Astyanax mexicanus: one gene and its partners. The main gene of each other region encodes a partner of the protein of the gene in region 3 in a complex. Links are inferred from orthologs where the notes say so. Each region holds a gene or a part of one and is shown on either strand. Other genes may lie near its edges.

Region 1 (7,317 bases), on a different chromosome or scaffold from region 3:
GGTATACCGTGGTATTAAAATGCACGGTTATCATACCGTGTGTGTTTGCTTATTACCGGTAAAACGCAAGCCAGCGGAGAAACTCACCCGCGCATGCGCAACTCTGCTCCGCTTCAGCTACTCAGCACACAGCGGTGAGAATGGCAGAAAGTGCATCAGACTAGAGCTTAGATTCTCTTAGATTCTCTGCCCGAACCAGACCTGGGCCGATATTTCCCACCACATTCCTCAGGCTGGGTCGGGTTGGGCTCCAGAAAATAGTCTGAGATGTAGGCATCTGTTTTTTAATCATATATTTTATTTTTAAATAAAGCTCTGGTGTGATAATCACAATGTTGCTAAGTAACCAATTAATATTGTTAATGAAAACGAACCAAATAATGAAAACTGAAAGTGAAACTTAACTAACTTATTTATAAGCGCTGTTTTCACTCCCGCAGTTCTACAGCGGGAGGTGTTGTGCCGATTCTGTCCGCGAAGCGGGAGTCGGATTCAGCAGGGAGTCGGATTCGGCATAACAGCGGCAGCGCGGCGGCACCTCGCGGTCCGCGGTGTTAGTTGTTAGCGCTCGCGCTAGCCGCAAAATACGACAGAAAACACTGAGAAACTGCAGAATTATGTATGGGACTAAAATATGAGCACGAGGAGATCAAAGAGAACCTTTACCTGTGAGTAGCTCATACAAGAACACGCAAATCTCTCTCTCTCTCTTGTGTCTCTCTCTCTCTCTCTCTCTCTCTCTGTGTCTCTCTCTCGCACGTGAACTTCTCCGCACTGTGTTTAGCTGTTCTTAAAAATCATTTTAATTAAATAATAGTTCTATGCTTCTATGTTAGTGTTAATTAACATAATTCTGATCATATTTCGCTCATTCAAACAGCCCGAAAACAGACTTGTAATCTTGTAATCAACAAGCTTGTAATCAATGTGGCCGTAAAGTCACAGCTAAAGGAGGAAATACACCTGTTCTCCCATCTCCGAGAACACCACCCCGCTGTGCAGCGCAAAGTATGTGTTTAGTTTATAATTTTAATCTGAACCTAAATAAAACCTCTTTGTAGTCGTGCACAACCCATGCGGTAAGCGCCCGCAAAAGCGCTGAGTTATCCGAAATTTGGGCACGCAGGTACAGGCGTGAAGTGCGTGCTACGATGGATTCACGTGTCCGTGTAAAGGTCCTGGCCGGACTGGATGTGAAAGACGCCATTCATTTACATGCGTTCATTTTCAAATTCTGACGTGACTGTTTTTCATATGTTGAAGGTTTTAAGGTGTGAAAGCCTTAAAATAGAAATATCTAATGTGAGGATCATGTCAGATATAAATCCCCTCTTTCTGCAGTATCTGGTTATATACCAACTTTTTTTATATATACACTGCCCTGGTTTCTTTCACCTGATGATGTAGTTTATACAATAAATAGTTAATTGAACAAAAAACCTTTGTTGTCATTTCTTTAAGGGTCAGTTTAATAATATATGTAACAAACTGTGATACCGTGATAACCGTTATCCCGCGGTATTTTCTGAGACGGTTATCATACCGTGAAAATCTCATACCGTTGCAACCCTAACTGCATCACAGAGATCTTTACCACTACACTGCCTTCTGAGACAGTGTGAGCAGTAAAGAAACAAGTAAGCTTTCCTGCCATCCCCTAATTTAAGACTCCAGGGAGTTCTATTCTACTGGCAATCATTTTCTACAGGAATTGTACTGTAGCTCCATAAGTGTGTGTATTTATTAGGATTTCAACATCCTAATGTGTGCAACTTATAGTACTTTAATGCATTAATTAAAAGGGTGTCCACAAACTATAGCTAAACCCATTACTAAAGCAAGTACCTTCAATAAAAATAGACATTAACAGAAATGTAACTTACAGTTAAGATAATTTGGGTTGGCCAGACATTGAACAAACTCCAGTTCTGACTGAAAGCGGTTTCTTGCTTGCTCCTCTGTATGGAAAGAAAGAGTTTAGAGAACGTTATCATGAATATTGATAACAGTGACCAGCTAGCTATCAGACTTTCAAAATATTCTTACAGAAAACATTAAAACCTGTGAGGTTCTATTCCCCAGTCTGTCAACTTAAAATGTTAGTGTTGATTATTTGTAAATGTGTAACTGCCATGGTGTACACAAAGTGCTGGGGGGGAAAAGCACTGTGGGTAAGGGCACTTAATTTACAGTCAGCTCGGTCTAATCGGCTAATCAAATGTATCAAATACCTAAAAAATTGCTAGTTGCAGCCTTATAAGATATACTTGCCATCAAAGTTAAACTGAATTGATCTGATTTTTTTGCACCAGGAGTGGCACAAGGTTACCCAAAAGCAGTGTGTAAGACTAGTGGAGTAGAATATGCCAAGATGCATGAAAACTTTAATTAAATACCAGCGTTATTCCACCAAATATAGATTTCTGAACTCTTAACACTTTATAGGTGTGAACTTGTTTTCTTCGCATTATTTGAGGTCTGAAAGCTCTGCATCTTTTTTGTTATTTCAGCCATTTCAAATTTTCTGCAAATAAATGCTCTAAATGGCAATATTTATATTTACAATTTGGGAGAAATGTTGTCCGTAGTGTATAGAATAAAACAACAATGTTAAATTTTACTTAAACATATAAGTTACCTATAAATAGCAAAATCAGAGAAACTGACTCAGAAACTGTAGTGGTCTCTTAAATATTTCCAGAGCTGTATATATAAACTTAAGCCACTGAGGGTTAAAGGCAAAATAAGCAAGCTAAGGCTAGGTAGCTAAAGCTAACCGAGCTAAATAAAGAAGTTGCTGCTGGAAAAGCTGTTATACAAACCTGTTTCCAGGACTCCAGCCATCTCACACAGACAAACTAAAACAACAACGACTTAACTAAACCGCTTAAATGCGAATAACAGCTACAAACAAACCGGATTTACTGAAATAATAATATAATTATGCGCTGAAAGCCGTTTTGTGTTGTCTAGCCCAGCGCCATATTCCTCCTACGTAAGTTCCGGGAAGGAACGTGATGACGGTATGGTCAGAGCCAGAGCCCGCCCACTCACACTATACCCCCTTTATATCTGTATATCACTGAGAACCGCTAGAGGGAGCCCTTAAGGGAGTCCTCAATGAATGGGGGTTAATGAAGCTAAACAGCTAAAACTCAAATTAAAAATAGTAATTAACTATTTATCTGTGATATTCATTTCATTTTATAAAGAATAATAAATTATTGTAATAAAACAGCAGATACAATTTACCTTTATATTTTAGTTTTTCTTCAAGAAATGTTTTTTACTGCTACTCTGAGCTGATTGGTTGGTGAGCTGATGCTGGAGATACAGTTCAAAATGAGAACGCGTACAAAATGTTTATAATTAAAGCTTAAAAGCTTTAATCTCGAGTCTGATAAGTTCAGAGTTGCACACATAGCCTTTTTTATAGCCTCTGTATTAGTAATCCTAAAAAATGCTCCCCGGTGCACACTGTTTCCTAAAAGGTATTTTATTGGTAGACAACATGTTGCCTGAAGACGCAAGTAACTCAAAACCGCTAGCATTGGGCTGTAGACGTCTTGGCAGCTACAGCACTAGCTTCATTAGTGCTCCAAGTGTCCTTTTGTGCATCTCCATGTACTCCAAATATGTTCTTCTGGATCTGCAAGTGTCATTTTATAGTGACTTCTATTGAAAGTTAAGAGCATTTTTTCTCATGTAAAGTTGGTGTTTTGAAGTGTTTCTACCATCACAGGGATGATGTATAAAACAGATTAGTTAACTGAAACATATAGTTTATAAATGGTTGGATTCTCCACTGTTACACTGATGTATTTAAGAGTGTAAGAGAGCTTGGGTAATGTAAAACTCTCCACATTAGCAGTGTTGCTTGTTGCTGGAAAAGCACCAAACAGTATCAACACGTTACAGCATAAATAGATGAAAAGAGTATTTATTACTGAATATGAAATGGCACGCCATGCGTAAAAGCGCATCCTGTGCATAAAAGCACGTACCGTGCGTAAAAACGCGTTCCGTGCATAAAAGCACGTACCGTGCGTAAAAACGCATTCCGTGCGTAAAAACGCGTCCTGTGCATAAAAGCACGTACCGTGCGTAAAAACGCGTCCTGTGCGTAAAAACGCGTCCTGTGCGTAAAAGCGCATTCCATGCGTAAAAGCACGCATTCCGTGCGTAAAAACGCGTCCTGTGCGTAAAAGTGCATTCTGTGCGTAAAAACGCGTCCTGTGCGTAAAAGCGCATTCCATGAGTAAAAGCACGCATTCCGTGCGTAAAAACGCGCCCTGTGCATAAAAGTGCATTCTGTGCGTAAAAGCACACATTCCGTGCGTAAAAACGCATTCCGCGCGTAAAAACGCGTCCTGTGCGTAAAAGCGCATCCCGTGCGTAAAGCGCATTTCATGCGTAAAAGCGTGTTACGTGCGTAAAAGCGCATTCCGTGCGTAAAAGTGCATTCCATGCGTAAAAGCACGCCCCGTGCGTAAAAGCGCGCACCTTGCCTAATTAAATTCTTAAAGTTATAGAGAAAAATAAACATAGTCTATAGTATAAACTTATATTATCTGTAATGTACATGTATTCACCTGGACCCTGACTTAAAACAAAAACATGTTCTAGTAGTGTTACAAAAATCATGTTTATTATATGTTTAAAGTAAGTCCTTGATTTATTCTACTCATACTTGAATGAAACGTATCTGTTTCAAACAAAAAAAAAATCTGTTGGCATATTCTAAAATATGACCAGTAGAGGGCAGCACCGCCGTGACTGGTACTGTAGCTCTACACAGTGATTATAATAAAGAATATATTATTAAATAAACTTGAATTGCTGTAACATACAATTGTTTTTATTTCTGTCATACAAAAATCTTCTCACTTTTTGACAATTTTAATTTAACAGGTGTTTTATATACAACCCCAAATCAGAAACACTTGGAACAGTACGGAAAATGCAAATAATAAAAAAACAAAACAAAATTGTCTTACATTTACTTTTGTTTAATTGCAGACAATGTGCACTCAATATTTTTCATGATTTAACTGGTTAACATCAATTAATTTATTAATATACATCCATTCCTGCAACACGTTCCTACCTTGTCATGTTGCCATTTCTTTTTCTAGTCACTGATGATAACAAGCTATAAAATTGTTTCAGGTGTTATTTTGTCCTATACTTCCTGCAGACACGTCTTACAATGTGCAACAACAGTATGGAGTCTTTGTCATTTTTCTTTTTTGTTTTAGATTCGTGTAATGTGTGCAGCATGTAGTTTTGGTCGTGCCTTGAAAAAATGTTGTTTTAAAGGTTGCACTAAGAACTTAGCGTACTTTTCTGCATTAATGCTGCATCACAAAAATGCACTGACACAACCCCATACTGTGATAGACCATGACTTTTGGATTTGATAATGATAATAGTCTGATTGATTCTTTTCATTTTTGAATCAGAGCTCACAGCAACCATTTCTTCCAATAAATATGTGGATTACTGACTTATTTGACCACAAAACATGATTCCACTGTGTGATGATCCACCTGTTGTGATTCTGCATTGAATAGTAAATTTCTGCGTGTCATTTGTGAATGTAAACATTACTGTAAAGTAATCTCTTGTCTACATGGTTCTATCAGCTATTGTTGAATGACGGTTTTTGATGCTGGGCTGTTTGAGGGTTTGATACAGAATTGTTCCAAAATGTACTTCATATAAAAACGTCTTACATTGAATTCCACTGTAGATCTTTTGTTTCTCTGTCTGCATAAGATTTAAAATAAGAACACAGGAAGACACAAAAAATATTAAACTTTTTTAATATTACAAACATTCCATCACATTTGATTTAATATAAGTCGAGACTACCATGTGAAACATATTCAAATTTATATGTAACGTCACATGGCCAAAGGCTGTAATATAAAGAGCCGTCCTGAGCTGTCCTATCTAATCAAAACAAACAGTATTCATATATATTTATGCATATACATGTTTAAAGATAAATAGAAAAATATTTTATTGTATACAAATATGATTCTCAGTCTCACCGGTTTCCATGAGTATCCTTCATAAGGTTTTATGTAATAAATGAAATGTAAAAAATTATTGCCATCACCATCATATTTATATAAGGTAGTTGCTGTACACAGATTATATATTACATCTGTACTGATAAAGTATGTGTATGACACACTGTCACAGTGTATAAGAGCAGGTAAGGATGTGCTGGCTCCTCCAGTGACACCCGTCAGAGGTGTGATGAAGGCGCCACCCTCAGCTTCTTAGCTTTAAGTGCAGTCGAGGGGGCTGCTGTTGGTGTGTGAGTAATCTGTTGTGCTGGCTGTGTGCTGTGTCCAGTCTCTCACACCCCTGTGGTGTTAGCCCAACTGGGAAAGGAGTCCAAGCCAAACAGAGGTCTGCCCCAACTGTTTATCGCCAGGGTGATGCACAGGATACCAATGATGTTCATCACAATACCTGTCCTGGCCTGAGGAGGGAAACGCAGTTTAATACCACATTTATAAAAGATCAAATGTATCAAAAGTAAAAAGATCAAGAGTAAAAATACACTGGCAGTCAAAAATAATAACCCCCAAAAATTGTAAAATAGCAAAAACAGAAACAAAGAGGCAACAATGGCAAAAAAAAGAGTTGTCTTCTTATGCTGATGGCTGTTTTTTAAATTAGTCGCAATAAACTGCTTTACACATTTGCTTTATTGCAGTCAACACACTTCCTATAGTGTCTGGATCAGATTATATTCCCAAATGAAGGATTACAGCAGATCTTTGCGAGACTCCTCTGTCACAGGATACTGAAGTTCCTTGCGAGAAGCATTGGCATGGTTGCAGACATGCATTAAAGCCACTGTTAAACCCAGCTCCAAAACATTTAACTCCACTATCCCTTTCGAGAGTACATTAACCCAGTACAGCGAGTATTAACATAGCAACTCAGCAGAGCTAACAAACACCACTAACCACATAAACTAACAAGAAATACTGACCACATTTAAAGGAATTTTTATTGTAAAGCCCTATCCAGACGGGATAAGTTTCTCAGGGGCATGTCTGTGAAAAATATTTTACACTTCTACTCAGTGATAAAACTCCTGCATCCGGACTGCAATTGAAAAAACAGGAGGACCAGTGAGTTTTTTTTGGCTTTCTCGGTCATGTGACATTGCGTTCAGTAGCTCCTCCGTTTGCACTCACTGTTGTGTTTAGGTGGATCACCATGGAAATGCGCACCCAAATGTAATCACGGTACATAGCAGTAGACAAATAGCTATGTTATTAAACATGAAGT
Region 2 (7,970 bases), on a different chromosome or scaffold from region 3:
ACATACACACACACACACGTTATATATATAATTATGTGTTACATATATCATTATTTGCCTGTAAGCAGGGGCTCTTCAAATGATGAAAAACAACAAGCTAAAGCCTTAGTCTTTCCTTTTTCATTTAACAATCTTTACTGAAATTCACTTTTTTATTTTACTAAGTGCAGTAGAAGGGAAAAGGGAAATACTGGACAAAATGAGCAGTGAATAACTCTATTTAAATGTTAAGTGTGAAATGTGAACATCATGTTTCACTTCACCCCAAGTCCATTTCAAACCAGATTTCTCCTTTAACTTTACTCAAAATGTGGCCTCGTTGTCAAATCAATGGTAAAATACGAAAAAATGTACACATATTTTGCCACTGATTTTGTATCACAAGGTCACATTTTGTGAAAGTTAAATAGAGTTATTTCTTACTCATTTTGCCCGGTATTTTTCCTACGGCCCCTAAAGTGCCGCATGGCACTGAAGACTGAAGGGATTTAACCTCAATCTTGGTCAAATTGAGGTAACATTTAGTTTTAGTGTAGTAAAACATGATAAAGAGTACTAACCTTAGTTGAATAGGCCACCTCCGCTCTCCTGCAGCTTTCCTTGATCCAGTAATTTTGTGCTTTTTCCCAGCACTCTTTATAACGTGCGCTTCAGGGCATCCATTGCCCCTGCAGATAAATAAGTTTTACACCGTTATCCAGCTCAAAGTAGCTCCACACCTCATTGTTAGACTCCGGAGAGCCCTGACATTTAAAACGAGGCATTTAGAAATTTAAAAAGTGCACAGGAAGCTTCGGGCTTAGGTTTTTAACAAGATTCTTGTGCATTTTTAAAGCTCTTAATGCCTTGTTTTAAACGTTAGAGCTCTTCAGATTCTAGCAATGAGATGTGGAGCTACTTTGAGCTGGATAACGGTGTTAAAAGCAAATTACCAGTCGGTAAGTGGATGCCCCAAAGCAGCCGTTGTGAAGAGTGCTGGGCAAAAAGCACAAAATTAATGTATCTCAGAAAGCTATGGGAGAGTGGAGGTAGGCTATTCAACAAAGGGTTAGTACTTTTTATGTTTATGGTGGTATTTTATATACAGTGTATTTACCGCTGGCGTTCCCTGTGGTGTGATACGTCTCACAGTCCACAAAGAAGCTGCCCTGCTTCACTCCTCCCAGCTGCTCCAGCTTCTTATGCAGCTGATCCACCGTCTGCTGCACACTCTTCCCCTCCGCCACCGGCACCTGACACACACTACAGCGCATACACACACACACACTGGAATACAGGTATGCTACTGTACAAAGTATAAAAAGTAGTCCTGCTCTATTGCACACTACTTATTACATAATTAAAAAGCTGAGAAATAATCAGGGACACTAGGGAACTAGTTAAACTTACTTATTTCAGTGCATTTTAAGTAGGGGTGTATTTATTTAAGTAGGGGAGTATATATATATATATATATATATATATATATATATATATATATATATATATATATATATATATATATATATATATATATATATATATATATCTCCAGATGATCCAGATGATATATATCTCCAGATGATCCAGAACGCAGCAGCACGTCTGGTCTTCAACCAGCCAAAACGGGCACATGTCACCCCGCTGCTCATTGAGCTCCATTGGCTACCAGTTGATGCTCGCATCAAATTCAAAGCTCTTACAATCGCCTACAAGGCGGTGACAGAACAGGCTCCTTCCTACCTGCACTCGCTCCTGAAGGCTTACGCTACCTCCCGGCCGCTGCGCTCCTCCAGTGAACGTCGCCTCGCTTTGCCAAAAACTCACACAAAGCAATCCAGACTGTTCTCATACAGAGTTCCCCAATGGTGGAACAAACTACCTTCCACTACCAGATCAGGAGAATCTCTCGCTATCTTTAAGAAACTCCTGAAGACAGAGCTCTTCAAAGAGCACTTACTCTCCTAACACCTCTAACTAACTACCTTCCACTACCAGATCAGGAGAATCTCTCACTATCTTTAATAAACTCCTGAAGACAGAGCTCTTCAAAGAGCACTTACTCTCTTAACACCTCTAACACACTAACTACTTCTAACCTCATTTCCTTCTTCCTCTCCTTCACTCCTCTATCCTATTATTCCCCTGTGTCCTCCTTTTATCCCTATCCAAAGATGTTTTACCTTGAAACTTATTTTACATTGTACTTGACTATTGTAAGTCGCTTTGGACAAAAGCGTCTGCCAAATGTAATGTAATGTAATATATATATTTTAGTAATTTCAAAAATATACACAGTTCTGTAAAAAATAAGAGACCACTTTATGATGATGATTTTCTTTGATTTTAGCAAATTGAAAACCTCTGGAATATAATCAAGAGGAAGATGGATGATCACAAACCATCAAACCACCAAACTGAACTTGCTTGAATTTTCGCACCAGGAGTAAAGGCAAAAAGTTATCCAAAAGCAGTGTGTAAGACTGGTGGAGGAGAACATGATGCCAAGATGCATGAAAACTGTGATTAAAAACAGGGTTATTCCACCAAATATTGGTTCATGAACAGCAGTTTTTGGTTTAGATCACAAAGGCAGCATAAAGAGAAAAACCCTGATCTACAGAAAATCTCCACATGTCAGTTACAAATATATTAATACTCTTTATATCTCGGGAAACCAGTAAAAATCGCCAAACTGAACTCTTTTATTCATTTATTCTTCTTACCAGGTAACTCCCATCTCTGCACAGCGCGGCCACAACAGCTTCAAAACACCCAGCCAGACTTCATCCGGATACTGACAAAATAAAAGTCTTTCTAAAGTCGTCTAATGTCAACTTTTACAATTTTAAATTTCATATACATGCATCAATATATACAACAAAATGTTTTCGCACATTAAAACTATTATTACCTGGAGAAATTAAATAAACGTCGATATTTAAAAGGAGGTGCTGCATACTAATCTGTATTCCAACTCAATCTGCACTCACTGGTTTCCGGTCACACCGCCTGATTAGAATGACCTTTTTTTGGAAAAGTTTATTAACATTTTATAAAGACAAACATTAACACAACATAAAACAAAAAGGAAAGACAAGATACTTTTGTAAATGTAAATATACATGATCAAGAAAACATATAATTCTGTTTAGTTTTTAATCTAATATTTGTATTGGCGAATATGATCTTTTTAGTCTTTCCTCGAAAAAAAAACATGTATATTATAAAAAAAATAGTTAACGACTAACAATTGGTCTGTAAAAATGGAAATAATAATAAATACATTATTAAAAAGAGAAAAATATCTAAATGCACGCTATGTAGCAAATAAAATCATTTATGTAATATAATTGTGTATATGTCATTCTAAAGTCGTCTAATGTCAATTTTATACACGCATTAATATATACAACAAACTAAAATTGCACACTAAAATTATTATTAAAATTATTAATTTGAAAAAAAATAATAATAATAAATCTCAGCCTGTCCTTAAATAGTACAAAATATAATTATGACTTAAATGGTATAAAAGTGATCAAAAACTGAAAAAAATTATATAATATTAATATAGTAAAAAAAAAAAAAAACATACATTATGTATTAACTATTTAAAAGAAAAAAATTATAAATGCACGTTATGTAGTAAATAAAATGATTGATGTGGTTAGCTAATAAAGCTGTGTAAATTTCATTTTAATACAGCATGAGACCCTATATGTTACCAAAAGAATTAAGATTTGTAAAAAAAAAAAATCGCTTTTACATCAGGCACATCTAACCAGCCACCGAAGGGTCCTACGGGTGCAGTTTTCGGCGTTGTCAGTTTTCGGCAGAGCACCCCCTGCGTTACCTCACCTCCATTAGCGTTGAGGGAAACCCACGTGTGTGCGACAGAGGGTTTTGGTAGAACTTAAAACTCCATTTATATCTGAGCAGTCTGTCGCCATGCCGAAGGTAAAGAGGGATAAAGGTGGTGGACCGGACCGGGCCGGAGGTTCTGTAGCCCTGGCCGATCAGCTGCTTCAGTCCGACACCATCAGAACCAACAGCCGGGTCAAAAACCGGGGCAGAAAACAGGAGGAGGAGGACTATGTGGACGAGAAGCTCTCCAGGAGGATTCTGGAGCAGGCTCGGATTCAGCAAGAAGAGCTGCAGACTGAGTTCGGAGTCACACCAGAGGCCAAGAAGAAACCTTCTACTGTTCTGGGCAAGTTAAATAAACGTGTATACATTAATATTATCACATGATAGACCACCACCAGAGACAGCAGTGCTGCTTGAGTTTTTAAACACCTCAGTGTCACTGCTGGATTAAGAATAACAAAAAAATAAACTGTGCAGCAACAAATTCAGATATTTTGTCTCTAATTTTACATTATCTGTAAGGTGGAGCAGCTGTAGGGCTGCAACTAATGATTATTTTAATATTTAACTAATCTTCTGAATATTTTTCAGATTATTCGATTAGTCAATGATTATTTCTGCCTTCCCCTCTGCTTGCTGTTGGTAGAGCTTCTGTTTCTAGCTTTCACTATTGGTTCAAAACGATAGAAAACAGCTAAACATGGGATTTAAATGCCCTTTACATATCCAGAACATTGTCTTTTGAATATGGAAGGTGCTGATCTTTAGTGAGGAAATGTGAAATCTGTTGTGATTGGGCTCTTTTGGAGACCCAGTTACCCTTCTAACATTGTGTTTGTCCCCAGTAATTTGTGTAGTGCTACTAATTGACGATTAGTCGACATCGAAAATTTGGAGCCGACAAATTTTTAAAAATCGTCATTGTCAATGATATTGACTAATCGTTGCAGCCCTAATCAGCTGTAGGTAGGAGTGTGTAATAGAGTGGAGGATAGTGAGAGATTAAACACGGTGTTTAAAACCATCAGCAGCACTACTGTATCTGATCAACTTACTGTACCAGCTCAGCACACACTAACACCTCATACACCACCACCATGCTAATCAGTGCTATTACTGCGAGTAACCACCCACCACACAAGCTAAGTGCTCTGTTGTGGTCACCTTAAATTCAGTGTTATTTTTTTCTTTTCATTATTTCAAAAATGTTCCCCAATGTAATTTAATAATAAAGTCTTCCAAACTGTGCAGAAAAACACAAAAGTGTTAAACAAACCAGAATATGTTTTATATATTTTACATTCTTCAAAGTATCTCCTCTTGCTTTGATGACAGCTCTACACATCTTGGAAAATAACTTTAATTTCTTGCCGTCTTCAAGTGATTCTAGTAGATATATAATGTAAAATGAGAACAGTGTGAATTTTTCTTTTGCTAAAAACAGCAAAAAAAAAAAGTAGTACCCTAATGTGATAATTAGTGGTGAGTGATATGGTACAATATTTCAGGGTATAATATCGTTAACTGTATTTGAAAATGTTGGCAATATTATTGCCTGTGATATGATATGGCCCTAGTTGTAAAGTTATAAATCTGATTATTTTATGTTATTGAAATCATTATAGATTGCTGTTATCATTATTAACAGTATGTGTTGTTTGCAGGTCCACATACTCAGGATGGAGACTCTGATGAGGAATGGCCAGAGCTGGGTGCCATGGGAACAGAGGATCATGAGGTGGGGGCGGTTGCTGAGGTGGAGGTGGATCCGGATGATGAAAAAGCCATACAGATGTTCATGAACAAAAACCCACCAGTGAGGTAAAGAACACCTGGACAACAAGGGTAACAGTGCAAGGTGGCTGCTCCACTATAGGGCAGTGTGGCTCTTCTTATTAATAATGTACTCTTGCTCTTTCTTTCCTGGGGCAGTCCTGTTGAGTACTAGTTTCATCATATCGCTTTGATGTGCGGCTGCGCTAAAGGATACTTTCAAAGTTCTTGAAATTTTTTAGATTGACTTAATTTCTTAGTCATAAAGTATTTTTTCTTTTTACTTAGTTGAGTATTTCTTGCTTCTCATAATCTGGATTAGAACAGTACTCAAATAGAGTTATTCACTGTATACCTGTAACTCTACCTCTTCACTACTTTACAACTGATGCTCTCAAACACATTAAGAGACAAGAAATTCAAGTAGTTGCAAACAAAAAAGATGCAATTATATCTCTGATCAATATTTAGTCCCATCCCTATGCCACACCACACAATATAAAGCATAGGCACGCGTATCCTTATGGATGTTGGAAAAAACATCATACTTTTTGGTTGTTTCCATGCAAATATATTGTTGCAACAAGCACAACAAAAATCATTCTCTCTAATTAAACATATTATTAGTTTATCTTATTTTTACTTAATGTATTTAACTTTTTTTTCAACATGGCACTGTGCTGGTATATATATTTTTCCAAACATATTCACTTGAAAGATAAATAACATAATGTTTAGTGAAAGTATTTAGTGCACTTTTATTTGCACTGATGTTTATACAGGTTCTGTTCTGTTTACAACACAGTGCTGTCATTTCCTTTTAATCCCCCCATCACTATTGCACTATTGTCTTGTGTCTCTTGTCTCGTGTATGTCTCTCTGTGTCCATGTCGTATTGTACGTTTAGTGTCTTTCATTTTTATATTTATATATTTTTTTATCTTGCTGTAATTTTTGGGAAGGAGAGTAACGTAATTTCAATCCTCTAAAAGTCCTGTACATATGCAAAACTATTTGATTTGAATTGATCTTATTTTTACTTTATGTATTTGGATTTGTTTAAATATAGGACTGTATTTTGCTGGTATATATTTGTTTGAACATGTTCACAAACTTCATTTTAAAGAGAAATATCAATGTTTATAGTAAAAATTATTTTTAATGTATTTATTTTTTTTTTGTAAAGGCGCACTCTAGCCGATATAATCATGGAGAAGTTAACAGAGAAGCAGACGGAGGTGGGCACTGTGATGTCGGAGGTGTCGGGGATGCCCAATCCACAGCTGGACCCCAGGGTGATTGAAGTGTACAGAGGAGTCAGTAAGGTGAGACTGAGCAACACCTACCTTTTGCATCCACCTACTGGCCAATTTATTAGAAACACCTACTTTTGTGCCTCCACTCATTGGCCATTTTATTAGAAACCCCAGTTTTGTGCCTACATTCTTTTGCCACTTTATTGGCAACCCCTTTTTTGTGCTTTCTCTCATTGACCACTTAATCAGAAACACCTATTTTCCACTTTATTAGACACACCTACCTTGTGCTGCTTCTATCTGGCCACTTTACTAGAGATTTTTTTTTATGAGCTTCAGGATAAATTAATTAAGTTTATTACTCTTGTAATACATACTAGGTCTGCATGATATGGGGGTAAAAACCTGACATTGTGAAATTTTGTTGTACAATATTTGTTGCAATGAGTATCAGGAATTTTATCCAAATTTCAGTGTCAGTGAATTAAGTCAATAATCTAAAATGCCATAATATTAATAGTACAATATGTGTATCAGTGATTGGAGTCAAAAAATGGTATTGGGTAGATGTAATTGTTAATATAGTGGATATAGTCACGTAAAATTTGATTTTTCTTTGTATCAAGCAGCGAAAAGCTTTTAGGAAAATTGCATGTACTATGGTGTGATTTAATGAGCTTGTATATAAAATGATATTTTGTGCAGCTCTAAAACATGCTGTATTTCAGTTTATTTTGATCACTGATTTATCTATGATCGATATTTGTTCTTTTGTTTCAGGTTCTTTGTAGGTATCGCAGTGGGAAGCTGCCCAAAGCCTTTAAAATCATCCCAGCGCTCTCAAACTGGGAGCAGGTGCTTTACCTCACAGATCCGGAGAAGTGGACGGCTGCCGCCATGTACCAGGCCACACGGTGAGTTAATTTAGAAGCAGCCTGGTTCACAATTTCATATACATATATGCTCACTGAGAAACAAGATAACGCACCCCAGGATGCTGCAGAGGCAGATATGCAAAAATTCAAGCAGTTCAGCTTGGTTTGATGGCTTGTGATCGTCCATCTTCCTCTTGATTATAATTGGTAAAATCAA
Region 3 (7,317 bases):
ACAGAACTATTGAATTTTTTTTTAATGATTCTAAAATTATTTTAAAACATTTCTTCCAAATTGAGCAACAGTAAGGACAGGAGCGCTATCAAAGACCAGACACCACATATTTTGCAACTCAACTGACATTAATATGTCACACCAATACGCACACCAAGAGTAGATTTTTGCCTTGCTAATGAGATTATATCATCTAATCTGTAATCATGTAAAAAGTAAAACAAGGTACAAGTTGTTATTGCCCTGAGAAAGGTACATTTGATCCATTTAGATAGATCTACAACTTGCACACTGATCTTTCTTGACATTTTGGATAGTAACGTGTAATGGCAGCTTTTATTACTTAAAGTGTTTTCAGGAGATGTGTTCACATATTATAAGTCCAGGAAGTTTTGGATACTCACTGCAGTTTACTGTCTTCACATGCTGGCATACATATAAACAGAAACATATAGGAACTAGTCCTTTATATACAGTTTTGCCTGTGCTTGGTGCAGTTTCCTTGGGCAGGGATGGTTTGTTCTTGTCCTTGGTGAAATTCATGCCAAAACAATCAACTATACAAACCAAATACAGGTTTTTATTAAAAAAAAAAAAAAAAAAAAAAAAAAAAAAAAACCTTATATGCACATATAAAATGTTATTCACCACATTCTGTGATTTAACTTAAAGGCGTATATAAAAACACTATTTTCTTTCCTTACAATAGGTTTTTTTGTTGTTATTGTTGCAGTACTTTTATTTTTCAGCATGGAATTACTCAAGAATGTGTACATGTAATTGTGGGGATGGTCTCACCTTGCATAAAAGCGTTTAAAGTACACAGTTGCGGTGGCGATGACCTGCTGCCTAAGTTTCAAGTGTTCCCCTAAGGCCTGGATCACTGACAGAAAACAAGGCTTTTTCAACATATATCTCAGTTCAGACACCATCATTATTTAGACAGGGCTAACAAAATCTACAAAAGTAGGTTTAACACAGTTTGAGAGAAAAGGGGATGGATAATATAAAAAGCTTGCTGGTTCTGAGAAAAAAATAAATAAAAAAATATATTTCAACAATACATTGTTCTATACCATTTGCAAAAAATATCTGCAGCTTCCAGTACTCCTCCTCTGTGAGAAACTTCAGGTCTTTCTGACGTTCTTTCAACAGGTCCTGCTTATCCAGCACCCACTGTAAGCTAATAACAAAGACAAAATTATACTTTTAATCAGTAATGTACAACATTAAAAACAATTTAAGTATTTCCAGAACACCAGACTGCTACTAGTCTTAGTGCTACATTCCTTTCTCAGAATGATTAATCAAAGAAACCAATATTGAATGAGCAACAGAAAACGACAGAAACAACTTAGATATTGAATGTATGGCAAGCAGAAAATTTAGGGCTAAATTTATGTACTGCAAACCTGGAATTAGTATTTCCAAGTAGGCCTGTTTTGTTTAAGCCCGGGAACACAAGACTCCCCTGTTATTATTGATTGAAAGTAACCTGTTTAAGTCATATTTTTACAAATACAGCATGGTTTTACATTATGACAACGTATTTATTCTGGTTTATTTTATTGTAACTCTAACTGTGTCCCGTATTGTCTACATAGCACCCTTAAAACTTAGGATAACTAATTGCTGTGAGAAACTGAAGTGTAAGCTTATATGCAGGGTCTATCAGGGTAAACAAAGGTGAAACAATCTGCCTTCCACTACCAGATCAGGAGAATCTCTCGCTATCTTTAATAAACTCCTGAAGCCAGAGCTCTATAAAGAGCACTTACTCTCCTAACACCTCTACTACACTAACTACTAGAACTAGAACTATTAGAAATAAAAAAAAAATAAATTCTAATCATTAATTTTTAGTGCATGCATTAAATGTTTTAAAATCATCTGGTGTACCACCCCAAAATGCTTTGCAGTTTAAAAAAACACGACATTAGAGGCTTAAGGATATTTATTCTACTGATGATACAAAGAAGTCCCATCATCCCAAATCTCCCAATCCACATTCATAGTGAAAATAATTCTGTTTGAAGTGCATATGTCCTTATGCTGTGCTTCCATTTCATTTTATAACATATCAGTTTTGAATGTTGTTATTATTATGAATGTTTTCTGTACAGTATACATATACATAGTACGAAATCTTTAGCATCTGTAAATCTGTAAAATAGCAATCTGCAAAATAAAAAGAAGATAAGAAATTGAGCACCACGATTTAAAACGCCCACTGTCTAATGGCATACTTTAATGTTTTCTTTCTTCAATATGTGTTAGTTAACTAGGTTCCTACCAATTAGCCCAAAATAACACGAAATTACAGAAAAGTTACTGCAAGTGTCCTGAATGATAACATTAACCGACAGCAAGACGAGCGCAGGCTCAACACATTGCCTTTATTCTACAGCTTTTCTATTCTATCAGCTGTCCTCACTGCTGTCTCTTAATGAAGGGAGTTACAGGCTCAGACAGTAACTAAACACACAGCTATAGTAAAGCTAACCACACTGGCTAGCTAATGCTAACTGCTTTTGCTAACTACCGTTAGCTAGAGTTAGCTCACTGAAAAACACAGCAGGAATCAGCTTTCTGTTCAATTAACAACGATTTTGGATTGGGCTGCCCACTCTTATTTACAGGCTGCACACTTTTATACATATTTTTATACATATTGCAGACATATTAATATCTAAAAACACATAAAACAAAGCTTAGAACACATTAGTGCCGTTAGCATTAGCCGCTTAGCTATTTTAGCTAGCGACGTGAAACACAGAACAGAAACAACAATAAAGAAAATAAGAAAAGCCTAAAACACCTACTAGTGTGAACTCTGCCAGAAGTTTCCAGCCATTGTGCTCGAGCTGAAGTAGGAAATATGATCTTAACTGAATTTAAACCGGTTGAATCGCCAGTTTTCAAGTGTCTACTAAAACCAGTGGAGCAACTGAAAATCAACCCCCCTTTCTCCTGCGTCCGCCGAGATACAGTCCGGCCAGAAACAACAAGGTCTTAATCCTGGTTCCGGAAAACCTGCTTAAGAGGAGTAGAGCACATAGTGCTTTACTAGTGACTGTTCCTTAGATATCCTGGTAGTTACTGGTTTTAAACCAAGGACCAGCTTTTTAAAGTAAAAGTATAAGAGAACATGTTAATGTTTTCATAAGCAAAAACAATCTAATTTACATTGATCCTCTACCTAAGCCTGTGTATTCCCAACCAAAGCTTTTCATAGACTATATAAAGGATTCTGTTGGTTTTTTAAAGACAGAAAGGCATTAAAATAATTTTAGATGTTTGTTGGAAAAAAAATACAGAATTAACATAAACTTGGATTAAGCACACCATTAATTATGCTGATGTAGCCTTTATAGAATTGATAGAAAATCTAAAGGAGGTGGTGTAGCTGTGGGAATCTCCAAACTAAATGATAAATTGTGGTTTCAAAAGAAAAATGGTATAAATTGCTATCACAGTGATATTTGAGAAGTGAAATTAACCCTCTCATGCATGAATTATAATAAACTCAGTCAGGATTTTTCTAAGTGTTTTTATACATCCTTAGGGATGTAAAACAAGGTTTGAAAAAAATATATATTCTATCTTTATTCGATAAAGAAATATTTATCTGTCCACTCAAGTGTACTTCATGCATTTTTTGTTGTAAAAAAAACACAAATGTAATTCAGTTATACAGTTGTAATATGGTATTCTGTTGGAATAGTGGAACTGAGGAGGATATTGTGACACAAGAAAATGTCTCTGAACTGTAGAACCTTATAGAATCTTGATTGTGACTGGTATTATCATACTGTATTCTTGTCAAGTCTCTGGACTGTTAAGTGAGCATATTCTCTTATAGTAGTTTATAGCATGTATCATATTTCCTGTCAAATCATGCTTGTTGCTAATTTCTGAGACTATTTTCTATGATGGTTGCCAAAGCATACAGGGCACAAAGCTACAAGACACTGCATGCAGATGTACTTGGTTCTTCGTGTGCTGGCATTTTATACTCTCTTGAGCTGGGGCCAGTGGTTTCCAGGGGCATACTGGATATTGGGGTGCCCTTAGTTTCAACAGCCTCATCTCCTTCATCTCCGTTCCTCAGCCTCAACTCCCTCAGTAACATTTCCAGACTCACCTTCACTATCACTGCTTGACCCTACTTCTCTGCTTGCAACTGTCTGTACTGGCAGACATTCCTCAATTAAAGAAGTTGATTTACAGCCAAAACATTAAACAATATGAATTATTTTAAAAACAACACTGGAAGTAATTGACATTGCATAAAAGTTGAAAAATAGCTAATGATGCATGATGTACAATTAAGTGGACAGATGATTAATCTACAATTCCCTCAAATATAAAATCAAAATTTCGAAAATCTTTACATAATATGTCACCTTAGATGTTACTTGATGTAATTATATATTTTTTACCTGCAGTGATATAATTTTATAAAAGGTAGAAACAAAAATAGCCAAGGTGTTTGGTGGTTTTCCCTGTCTGCCGGCCATCTTGATTTCATTGACTTCTTTTTCCCATTACAATGACCAACCAATGGGATTTTTTTTGTATAGGATGATGCAATAGCTTCCACTACAGTGGACTATATGCAGCAGTGCCCAAAATTGCAAGCATATTTAAAGAAAAAACAATTTTAAACAGCTGTACACTGTAGTGATCTCTATGCATGAAAGGGTTAAGTTTAAAGGAATTACAGAAAGTGTGCAAAATGTTTTAAACAAAATTAGGCAGGTGCAAAAATTTGGGCACCCCAACAAAAAAAAATAAATCAATATTTAGTACCTTTTGCAAAAATAACAGCCTCTAAATGCTTCCTATAGCTTCTAATGAAAGTCTGGCTTCTGATTGAAGGTATTTTTGCATTTTGGATCTCTTTACAAAACATCTCCAGTTCAGTCATGTTTGATGGTTTCAGAGCATAAACAGCCCGCTTTAAATCAAACCACAGATTTTCAATAATATTTAGGTCTGGGGATTGTGATGGTCATTCCAAAACTATGCACTTGTTACTCTGCATGAATGCTTTACTTGATGTTGAGCAGTGTTTAAGGTCGTTGTCTTGTTAAAGTATCCAGCCCTGACGCACCTTCAACTTTGTCACGGATTCTTAAACATTGTTCTTAAGAATCTGCTGATATTGACTGAAATCCATGCAACCCTTAACTTTAACAATATCTGCACTGGCCACACAGTCCCAAAGCATGATGAACCGCCAACAAATTTTACTGTGGGTAGCAAGTTTTTGTGTTCTTTTTCCGCCATGCATACCACTCTCCAAATAACTCAATTTAGTTTCATCAGTCCATAGCACCTTATACCAACCTTATACCAACAATTTGCTTTAGCATACCTGAAGTGACTCTGTTTGTGGCGTGTGCTCAGAAAAGGCTTCTTCTGCATTACTCTCCCATACAGCCTCTCCTTGTGCAAAGTGCGCTAAATAATTAAACGATGCACAGTGACACAATCTGCAGTAAGATGATGTTGTAGGTATTTGGAGCTGGTCTGTGGGATGACTATGACTGTTCTCACCATCCTTCTCCACTGCTTATCTGAGATTTTTCTTGGCCTGCCACTTTGGGCCTTAACTAGAACTGATCCTATTGGCTTCCACTTCCTCACTATGTGAGATAGCTTTATGCTTTATGCAAGGCAAGAGCTGATTTGATTAACCATCCTAAGCAGTTTAGATAGCCAGGCTGTCTTTTATCAGCAGGGGTATTTAGTGTATATGAAAAACAGAAGAGGGGTTCTGATAGTAGGTACTGCGTGTGAACAGTTCAGGGTGTAATAGTGTTCACTTCTCTATTTTTGCCACTGGAGGTTCTTGTCAGCTGGCTGTGAGATGTTTGGGGTCTTCTGCATGATCTCAGACTGAGGTTCAACATTCCATGGTGGGCTGGGTCCATCAGAGGGTCTGTATATAAACCCCAGTATTGATGAGAAGCTGCAGTGCTGCTTTAGTCTTGTAGAAGAATCCCTGCTGGTCTCAGTATGAGCAGAAGCCCAGAGAGAATGTCCTCCTACCGCCGCCACTTTGAGGGCGCGCTGGCCTCATCTTCCTCCTGCCACATCCGAGTCTCCAGCCCGTCTCCAGTGCGCCGCGAGACTCGGCGCTCCGCCAGCTACAGCCGTGCACGCACCAGCCGACGTGCACTTTCTGGTACACGCACTCCACGCATGACCAGGTAAAGTTGTTTGGTATTTTACAGTTCAATACTTTTTATATTTTCTATCCGGTTAACCCTGACCGCAATTGTTTAAATATAAACTCACATTCAACTACAAAACTCCTCCATAGGAATGCATTGAAATTTGTGCGTTTGCTTTTAACCAAAAATATGACTTCTCTAAAGAGTAAACACCAAATTTGTCTCAATAAAATAACTAATAGCAAAGTTTTATGCTTTATGAAAGAATCAGATAAAAGAGTTCATTGTATTGTGCATTGTTTCCTCATAAGAATTAATGACAGAATGTTTAGCACTTTCACACACCAGTTTAGAACATGCACAGACCTTTTTCTCTCTATTCCTCTCCAGTACTCTCTGTGTATGTAAGAGCTTTTGGGCCAGTAATTCCCCCTTGCTATGCTGAATTTGTCTTGTGTGTACTCTTTTTTTTTTTCAGCAGTGTAAGTATGGGCGCTCTGTGTGTTGGCATGGGTCTTGGATCAGGTCTAGATCTGGAAGCTGCGGCTGCTGCCAACCAGGCCTTCCTGAGCACACGTACAATTGAGAGACAGGAGATGGTCACCCTCAATGACCGCCTGGCTGTGTACATAGAGAAGGTACAACACAAATGCTGTCTTTCATTTTATTTTGACATATAAGACATTTTCAGTGAAACAACAAGAACTGATATAGGTTTACTTGGTTTAAAGGTCCGTTCTCTGGAGCAACAGAATAAATTGCTGGAGACTGAAATTGACACATTGAAGGGCCGTTTTGTGAAGCCTTCAGGCCTGCGCATGATGTATGAAGACCAGCTGCGAGAGCTGAGAAGGATTGCTGATCAGATGAAGGTTCAGAGGGTGAGAGAGCGAAATTTTAATGTTTAAATCTTGACTTTAAACCTTAAGTTCTTAAGTACACCAAAGGAATGTACCTATCCTAATTCAGTATTATCCTTTTTAAGGACCTTGCCATTGCTGCCAAGCAAGCCATGGCAGGGCAACTGGAAATGATAAAGGTCAAATACGAGGAGGCTCTGGAATCCAGAAAACGAGTTGAACTGGAGATTGAATCTTTCAAGCCGGTATTAGGCTTTACTTTTTCACTAACCATA
Region 4 (7,059 bases), about 39 Mb from region 3:
GACTGTGGTTCGCAGCCCCTTTCACATCTGCTTTCAAACCAAACTGAAAACTCTGGAACAAACAAGGTAAGCATGAAAGACTCTCAGGATGGTCTTCCAGACTCCAATCCAGACCACCTACAGATCTTAAAACGTTTTGTCGTATAAAACATGTATAATGGGTCTAAAATGTCTTGGTATTTATGCAGTTTTTAGGGAGCTATTCCTAACCACTTCCACATTTGGTCTTCATTCTGTCGTTTTAAACGTGAATCTCTGAGAAGCCACTTCATAGGAATATTAAATTGCAAAAGGAGCTTTACAAAAAAAAATATTTGACTTTCAGAGTGACACCACAGTCACACTTAAGATTGTGAGGGTATACAATTATTCAAGATGCATACCAACAGACCACTGTCATGTATTTCCAAAAAATAAGCATATTTAACACAGTATTTGCATTCAGAAGCCCTTAAATTTAGTAGTACTGCATGAACAAACATACTGTGTGTCAAATAATAGTAATAATACCAGTAGTGTAGTATAGCACAGTAGGCAAAAAGGTAGTCAGGTAGCCACAACTTGTCAACAAACACATTAGTCATACACACAATTAGACAAACTAACCTAAAATGTCTATAGTGTCTTTCATGTTCGATAATGATTTTAGATGGGTATTTATTACCAATGCATAGACCTATCTGATCACACAAGTCAATTTAATATGACATGTCAAAACTGTTCAGTGTTCAATAAATATTTTTGAAACAACATTTTATTTGATCATGTTTCCATTATGTTCAGTTACATGCAAAATAAATAATTTCGCAGCATTCCTAGTGTTTATGCATCTTGAAGGGAGTTGTTCATTACCACTGCTCATTTTGGGTTGTTTACTCTGGATAACACATTTAAAATATTGTTTGTCAACATCTGAATCTCAGTAAATAAAATAGACTTAACTATTAACTTAATGGATGCACTAAAGCATCAACACACCACCAGCATGAATGCATGTTCAAAAGTTTTGCACATTTAACCCTCAGCACGCAGCACAATGCCAGATAAGAAGTACTGCATAACTACACAAATGGTTTGAAATAATAAATGTAATATAACCTATATAATTATCCAGTTAGTCAAGAAGCTAGTTAGATACATGATCACACAGACACTTCAAAGCTGCACACCAACAGACCACCAGCACATATCTCCAAAAAAACAGAAACTGAACAAGATCAAACTTGACTTGGTGAGAGCAACACCTCTGACACTTAACAATCACAATCTGTTAACAAGTATTACATTAAGGAAAAAATGACAATAAAAAAATACATAGAATTAAAAAGAGTTCAGTTAAAAAAAATGTAAAATTTAAAAATAAAACTAAAAATAATAAATGTTATAACACTTATGCTTTATAGGTTTCTTTTCTTTCACTTCTTTTTTCCTAAATCTAAATCTCTGTTGCTCTGTGCACATTAGTTAGGCTATAAGACCGGTAAAGGAATCAAATGGACTTGACTTTTAATGTGATAATCAGACCCATTCAATCTGCACACCAATAGAACACTGGCAAAGATCTCCAAAAATGGAAACTCAACCCAACATTTAGGCTCAGCAGCAAAGTGCCGAATTTGAAGTATTGAATAAATAAACAAATAAAAACTTACTGAGATCAAATTGCATTTGTTGGTATTCCTGCTGGGATTGTATAACTGTATTTTGTTGTATATTTCTAAACTGTAGTGAGTTATTACTTTGGATTATTTTGGATTATATGATATATATATAACGCTATGTTTATTTTCTGTATTGTTTCTTAGCTAGCTACATCTCCATCTCTGTAAAATGGCACAATAGGCTTTAAGAATACGAGATATAGGAATGAATTGGACATGATTTTAATGTGATAATCAGACACATTAAAGATGGTCTCCTAGAGATTCAAGCTGCACCAATAAAATGCAAACTTGTCTAGGTTAACCAAACATTTAGGCTTAGCAGCACAGTGCCAAATTAGAAGCACTGGATATAGTGAAGACAAACGGAAACTTAACGAGACCAACTTGCATTTTTTGGTGTTCCTGCTGGAATGTTATATTACCACTGCACACTCTGCGTGCTAACTTTGGATTATATGATTTATATAACGTTGTGTTTACGGTTGTTTTCGATATAAAAACATAATATAAGCATGTTAGCTTAGCTTTGTGTAAATTAGATCAATTATGTTAGATAGCCAGTGAGCAAGTTACTGTTAGCTAGCTGTTAGCTAACCTAGATACGACTTGTCAACAAACAGCAGCCGACAGATTTCAGCTAACGAGCTAACCCAGATAGCTCAGCCAGCGTTAACTGACACAGAATTAAATTTCGTTTTTAACGTCAATTTCCTAATAATTTTAAGCACTTTAGCCGTTTCTGAAACACCCAAATCTCCTTATATTAATCTCTTTTCCTCGGTATTTTATTTGGATGGGGGTTGAGTAGGAAAACGCTCAGGATTGCAGTAAGTTAGCAGCTCTGTTTCTGAGCAGTTTATTATTGTCCAGTTCGTGTTTTTATTTATATAAAGTGAACACAGCGCTGCTACACAGGCAGGGCTATATCTCAGCCTGCTGCCGGGCTCTGTGGCGGACCGGGCGGGTCGGGTTTAGCCCGGTTAGGCCGGTATTGTTGCGGGTTAGCGGGCGCTGCTGAAGGCCCGGGGGTTTGGTGGTGCTCGGTTAGCTAGGTTAGCGTAGCTCTCCGGCTAGCGCTCCGGCTCTTTGTGGACTGACTCTGTGTGTAAAGACGGGCTCTGACCTCTTTCTGCTTCGGGTCCTGGGGATAAACGTCGGGAGGGCCGAGTCTGGGTCGCTTCAGGGGCCGGTGCTCGTAACTCAACATCCCGAAGGCCGCCATGGTCCCAGCCGCATAGCAGCCCGGGCCGAGTCCGTCCGTCCCCGATCCGACCGAGCGATACCCGACAGCGGCTTACAGCCAGCGACGCTCCGCTCCCTGCCCCGCTCCAATCAACAGCCAGCGGAACTGTGGGAAAACACCCGGCAAATTAAAAGACCCTGATATGGATTTAAATCGGAAGGTTTAAAAGCCGGGTGTTGTGTCGAGTTATGCTATCCATAGATATGTGCTTTTTTTACGGACATTTTTCATTTTTTTTGTAATGTAATTCATTACGTTTTTATTGGGAGTATTAAACAACTTGATTTAATGTTTTAAAACTTTTAATAGCAGTAAAAAAATATTAACGGTAAGTAAAAAAATAATCATAAGCTATAAAACAAAAAAATAGGGTTCTAATCACGTAAATTACTTTATTTTTTAACCCTGCCTGATACAGTGATTTAGCCTACCACGTCTATCCTACCTATCAGCTATCCTACCTATCTATCCTACCTATCAGCTGGGAGTATTCTCTAGTATGGTTTAATTTGGTGCTTTTTTTTACCTTAAATACTACTATGGTAGCAAGGTTTGACAAGGTAGCACAACTCGACAGAACACCACAAAAATAGTTTACTAGTATACCTATAGTAAACTATAGTACCAGTCAAAAGTCTTTCTTTCTTTTTTTGTAATTTTCTACATTGTAAATGTAACCCTTTCAGACCCTGCGTCCATTACAAAGATATCTTATATTACAAAAGATATATATTTTTTAAAGATATATCATGTTTTGTTGCACAGTTTTTGAACCACGGTAAAGTTAGTTTCATTTTTGATATTCGACTTTTCGGCTCTAATAACTTCTGAACGGAGGATGGTAGCCAGCAGATACTTACATAATCAGGACAGTACGACCACAGAGAGTGACGCACACCCTTCCTTTTACTGTTTGGGTGAAATTTGCGCAACGCCCTTTTAGCGTTAATACCGAAAAACTAAGCGCACTTTTCCTGTCAGAATAAAATGCATGTACTTCTAGACCACCTCTACTTCTGTACACACTCATTTATTTACCTCCAAATCACTTCAGTGCATAAAAATGCCTATTAATGTTCCCACATAAGAATAGATGGCTTTAAGAAAAAAAAAAACACCAATAGCTCCATATCCTTAGGGTTCATACACATCAGAATAACGGGGATGTATACTTTGAGTCATGAGGAAAATTGCACACCCATTAATATTATGCAAAATGCTCAAAATTTTTATTATATTTTATATATTCACAAATTCAATAGCATTTCAGCAACTGTGTATGTCACAGCTAGGTGGCAGCAGACACGCACATCATTTATATTTTGGATACAGTGCCAATTCTAGTGAATATTACATTTTATATATTTAAAAAATCAATAGAATTTAAACCGAATTACACAGAACACTAAAAATAAGTATGATACAGCTAGGTGTCAGGAAACACACGCAATCTTTGAAATTTGGATACATTGCCAATTCTACTAATTATTAAATTATATACATTTTAAAATGTAATAGCTTTCAAACCGAATTACACAGAACAATAAAAACAAGTGTGTATGATAGAGTTAGGTGGCAACAAACACACACATGCTTTATATTTATGATACACTGCCAATTCTACGAATTATTAAATTTTATATATTTTAAAATGTAGTAGCTTTCAAACCGAATCACACAGAATAATAAAAACAAGTGTGTATGATACAGCTAGGTGGCAGCAGACACACACACCATTTATATTTTGGATACAGTGCCAATTCTAGTGAATATCACATTTTATATATTTAAAAAATCAATAGAATTTAAACCGAATTACACAGAACACTAAAAATAAGTGTGTATGATAGAGTTAGGTGGCAACAAACACACATGCTTTATATTTATGATACAGTGCCAATTCTACATATTATTAAATTATATATATATTTTAAAATTCAATAGCTTTTAAACTCAATTACACAGAATAATAAAAACAAGTGTGTATGCTACAGCTAGCTGTATCATACACACTAGTTTTATTGTTCTGTGTGATTTGGTGTAAAGCTATTGAATTTTAAAATATATAAAATTTAATAATTAATAGAATTGGCAATGTATCCAAATTTTAAAGAGTGTGTGTGTGTTTGTTTCCACCTAGCTGTATCATACACACTTGTTTTTATTGTTCTGTGTAATTCGGTTTGAAAGCTATTGCATTTTAAAATATATAAAATTTAATAATTAATAGAATTGGCAATGTATCCAAATTTTAAAGTGTGTGTGTGTGTTTGTTGCCACCTAGCTGTATCATACACACTAGTTTTTATTGTTCTGTGTGATTTGGTGTAAAAGCTATTGAATTTTAAAATATATAAAATGTAATATTCACTAGAATTGGCACTGTATCCAAAATATAAATGGTGTGTGTGTCTGCTGCCACCTAGCTGTATCATACACACTTGTTTTTATTATTCTGTGTGATTTGGTTTGAAAGCTACTACATTTTAAAATATATAAAATTTAATCATTCGTAGAATTGGCAGTGTATCATAAATATAAAGCGTGTGTGTGTTTGTTGCCACCTAGCTGTATCATACACACTTGTTTTTATTGTTCTGTGTAATTCGGTTTGAAAGCTATTACATTTTAAAATGTATATAATTTAATAATTAGTAGAATTGGCAATGTATCCAAATTTCAAAGATTGTTTGTGTTTCCTGACACCTAGCTGTATCATACACACTTATTTTTAGTGTTCTGTGTAATTCGGTTTAAATTCTATTGATTTTTCAAATATATAAAATGTAATATTCACTAGAATTGGCACTGTATCCAAAATATAAATGGTGTGCGTGTCTGCTGCCACCTAGCTGTGACATACACAGTTGCTGAAATGCTATTGAATTTGTGAATATATAAAATATAATAAAAAATTAGAGCATTTTGCATAATATTAATGGGTGTGCAATTTTCCTCATGACTCAAAGTATACATCCCCGTTATTCTGATGTGTATGAACCCTAAGGATATGGAGCTATTGGTGTTTTTTTTTCTTAAAGCCATCTATTCTTATGTGGGAACATTAATAGGCATTTTTATGCACTGAAGTGATTTGGAGGTAAATAAATGAGTGTGTACAGAAGTAGAGGTGGTCTAGAAGTACATGCATTTTATTCTGACAGGAAAAGTGCGCTTAGTTTTTCGGTATTAACGCTAAAAGGGCGTTGCGCAAATTTCACCCAAACAGTAAAAGGAAGGGTGTGCGTCACTCTCTGTGGTCGTACTGTCCTGATTATGTAAGTATCTGCTGGCTACCATCCTCCGTTCAGAAGTTATTAGAGCCGAAAAGTCGAATATCAAAAATGAAACTAACTTTACCGTGGTAGTTTACCTTAGCTCCGCCCACTGCACTGGAAAACACAGCAACAAAAGACATTAGGGCATCAAAACAGTTCACTGCAAGAGTAAAGTCTAATATTAGGAGAATAAAGTCGTAATAATTTGAGAATAAAGTCGTAATACGGCAGCATTAGAGCCGACAACTTTTGTTCTCAACATATCAAATTCAGGTGGTCATTTTATCCATGGAAAAATGTACTGAAATGTATAAAATTGTCTCCAGCAAGGGGTATGATACATTTGTAAAGCAGTTCCTATTCCCTTACTTCAGCTGGTTCAAAATAGTATTAAATCCTTCCCTGTTGCACCTTCCTTTTCTACTATAAAGGTTGGTGATATCAACCTTTTGGATTAAAAAAAATACTAATTAGACTAATAAGTAAGTTGTTTAAACAATGTATTTTTGATGACTTTAACTCATGCTATTCACGGGAGAATATATGAAACGACAAGCTTTTTGTTTTTATTCATCATGTCCTATTACTCCCAAAGCTAAAATTGTAACAGCAGTGTACCCAGTTAATGACCTAATATATATATTCAAATTTCAGATGAGCCCCTGCACTATTTTCTCTGGAGAGAGATAATCAATAGAACATTTATTTGTTAAATGTTATTATAGTAAGCTTTTTTGGTCTGACATCTGTAATTGGTTGTAAATTAAAAATACAGATATACCTAATTTTATTTATAATGACAAGTTATCATATGTGCAACTTAAATAGAGACATTTCAAATTAAGTTAATCTTTTTATCATTATGGGTAAATGA

What was found.
Region 1: ccnc (region 3) and med31 share a complex: the UniProt entries of both Homo sapiens proteins name them as parts of the mediator complex. The link is inferred for Astyanax mexicanus from reciprocal best matches to the Homo sapiens genes CCNC and MED31.
Region 2: ccnc (region 3) and med20 share a complex: the UniProt entries of both Homo sapiens proteins name them as parts of the mediator complex. The link is inferred for Astyanax mexicanus from reciprocal best matches to the Homo sapiens genes CCNC and MED20.
Region 4: the proteins of ccnc (region 3) and med12 are in contact, whole or in part, in a cryo-EM structure (PDB 8TQC), measured with the Homo sapiens proteins. The link is inferred for Astyanax mexicanus from reciprocal best matches to the Homo sapiens genes CCNC and MED12. Residues at the interface, in NP_005181.2 of Homo sapiens: Gly3, Asn4, Phe5, Trp6, Gln7, Tyr11, Ile15, Asp17, Gln19, Asp20, Lys23, Gln49, Glu53, Leu57, Arg58, Gln59, Ile62, Tyr153, Arg157, Pro158, Gln161, Tyr162, Asp165, Leu173, Pro174, Trp177, Arg178, Ile179, Asn181, Asp182; in NP_005111.2 of Homo sapiens: Ile6, Leu7, Ser8, Tyr9, Glu10, Pro13, Leu14, Lys15, Arg18, Leu19, Pro22, Asp23, Val24, Tyr25, Asn47, Pro49, Ala50, Val51, Asp54, Glu55, His56, Gly57, Ser58, Ala59, Lys60, Phe64, Pro66, Ile69, Asn72, Phe73.

What each region holds. Positions count from the first base shown.
Region 1 is NC_064424.1:13,288,088-13,295,404, forward strand, and holds the start of med31 (mediator of RNA polymerase II transcription subunit 31), read right to left. Parts: upstream 3,009-7,317; 5' UTR 2,845-3,008; coding exon 2,823-2,844; intron 1,959-2,822; coding exon 1,884-1,958; intron 1-1,883. Other genes in the region: slc13a5a (solute carrier family 13 member 5a), read right to left, coding at 6,371-6,496. UniProt on the Homo sapiens protein: Component of the Mediator complex, a coactivator involved in the regulated transcription of nearly all RNA polymerase II-dependent genes.
Region 2 is NC_064431.1:31,841,678-31,849,647, reverse strand, and holds the start of med20 (mediator of RNA polymerase II transcription subunit 20), read right to left. Parts: upstream 3,001-7,970; 5' UTR 2,894-3,000; intron 2,777-2,893; 5' UTR 2,720-2,776; coding exon 2,706-2,719; intron 1,243-2,705; coding exon 1,097-1,242; intron 1-1,096. Other genes in the region: bysl (bystin), read left to right, coding at 3,931-4,192, 5,514-5,670, 6,809-6,947, 7,659-7,792. UniProt on the Homo sapiens protein: Component of the Mediator complex, a coactivator involved in the regulated transcription of nearly all RNA polymerase II-dependent genes.
Region 3 is NC_064409.1:30,314,793-30,322,109, forward strand, and holds the start of ccnc (cyclin-C), read right to left. Parts: upstream 3,001-7,317; 5' UTR 2,855-3,000; coding exon 2,823-2,854; intron 1,184-2,822; coding exon 1,077-1,183; intron 884-1,076; coding exon 799-883; intron 1-798. Other genes in the region: ngs (notochord granular surface), read left to right, coding at 6,025-6,218, 6,661-6,820, 6,914-7,063, 7,168-7,287. UniProt on the Homo sapiens protein: Component of the Mediator complex, a coactivator involved in regulated gene transcription of nearly all RNA polymerase II-dependent genes.
Region 4 is NC_064409.1:69,523,035-69,530,093, reverse strand, and holds the start of med12 (mediator of RNA polymerase II transcription subunit 12), read right to left. Parts: upstream 3,001-7,059; 5' UTR 2,887-3,000; coding exon 2,788-2,886; intron 1-2,787. UniProt on the Homo sapiens protein: Component of the Mediator complex, a coactivator involved in the regulated transcription of nearly all RNA polymerase II-dependent genes.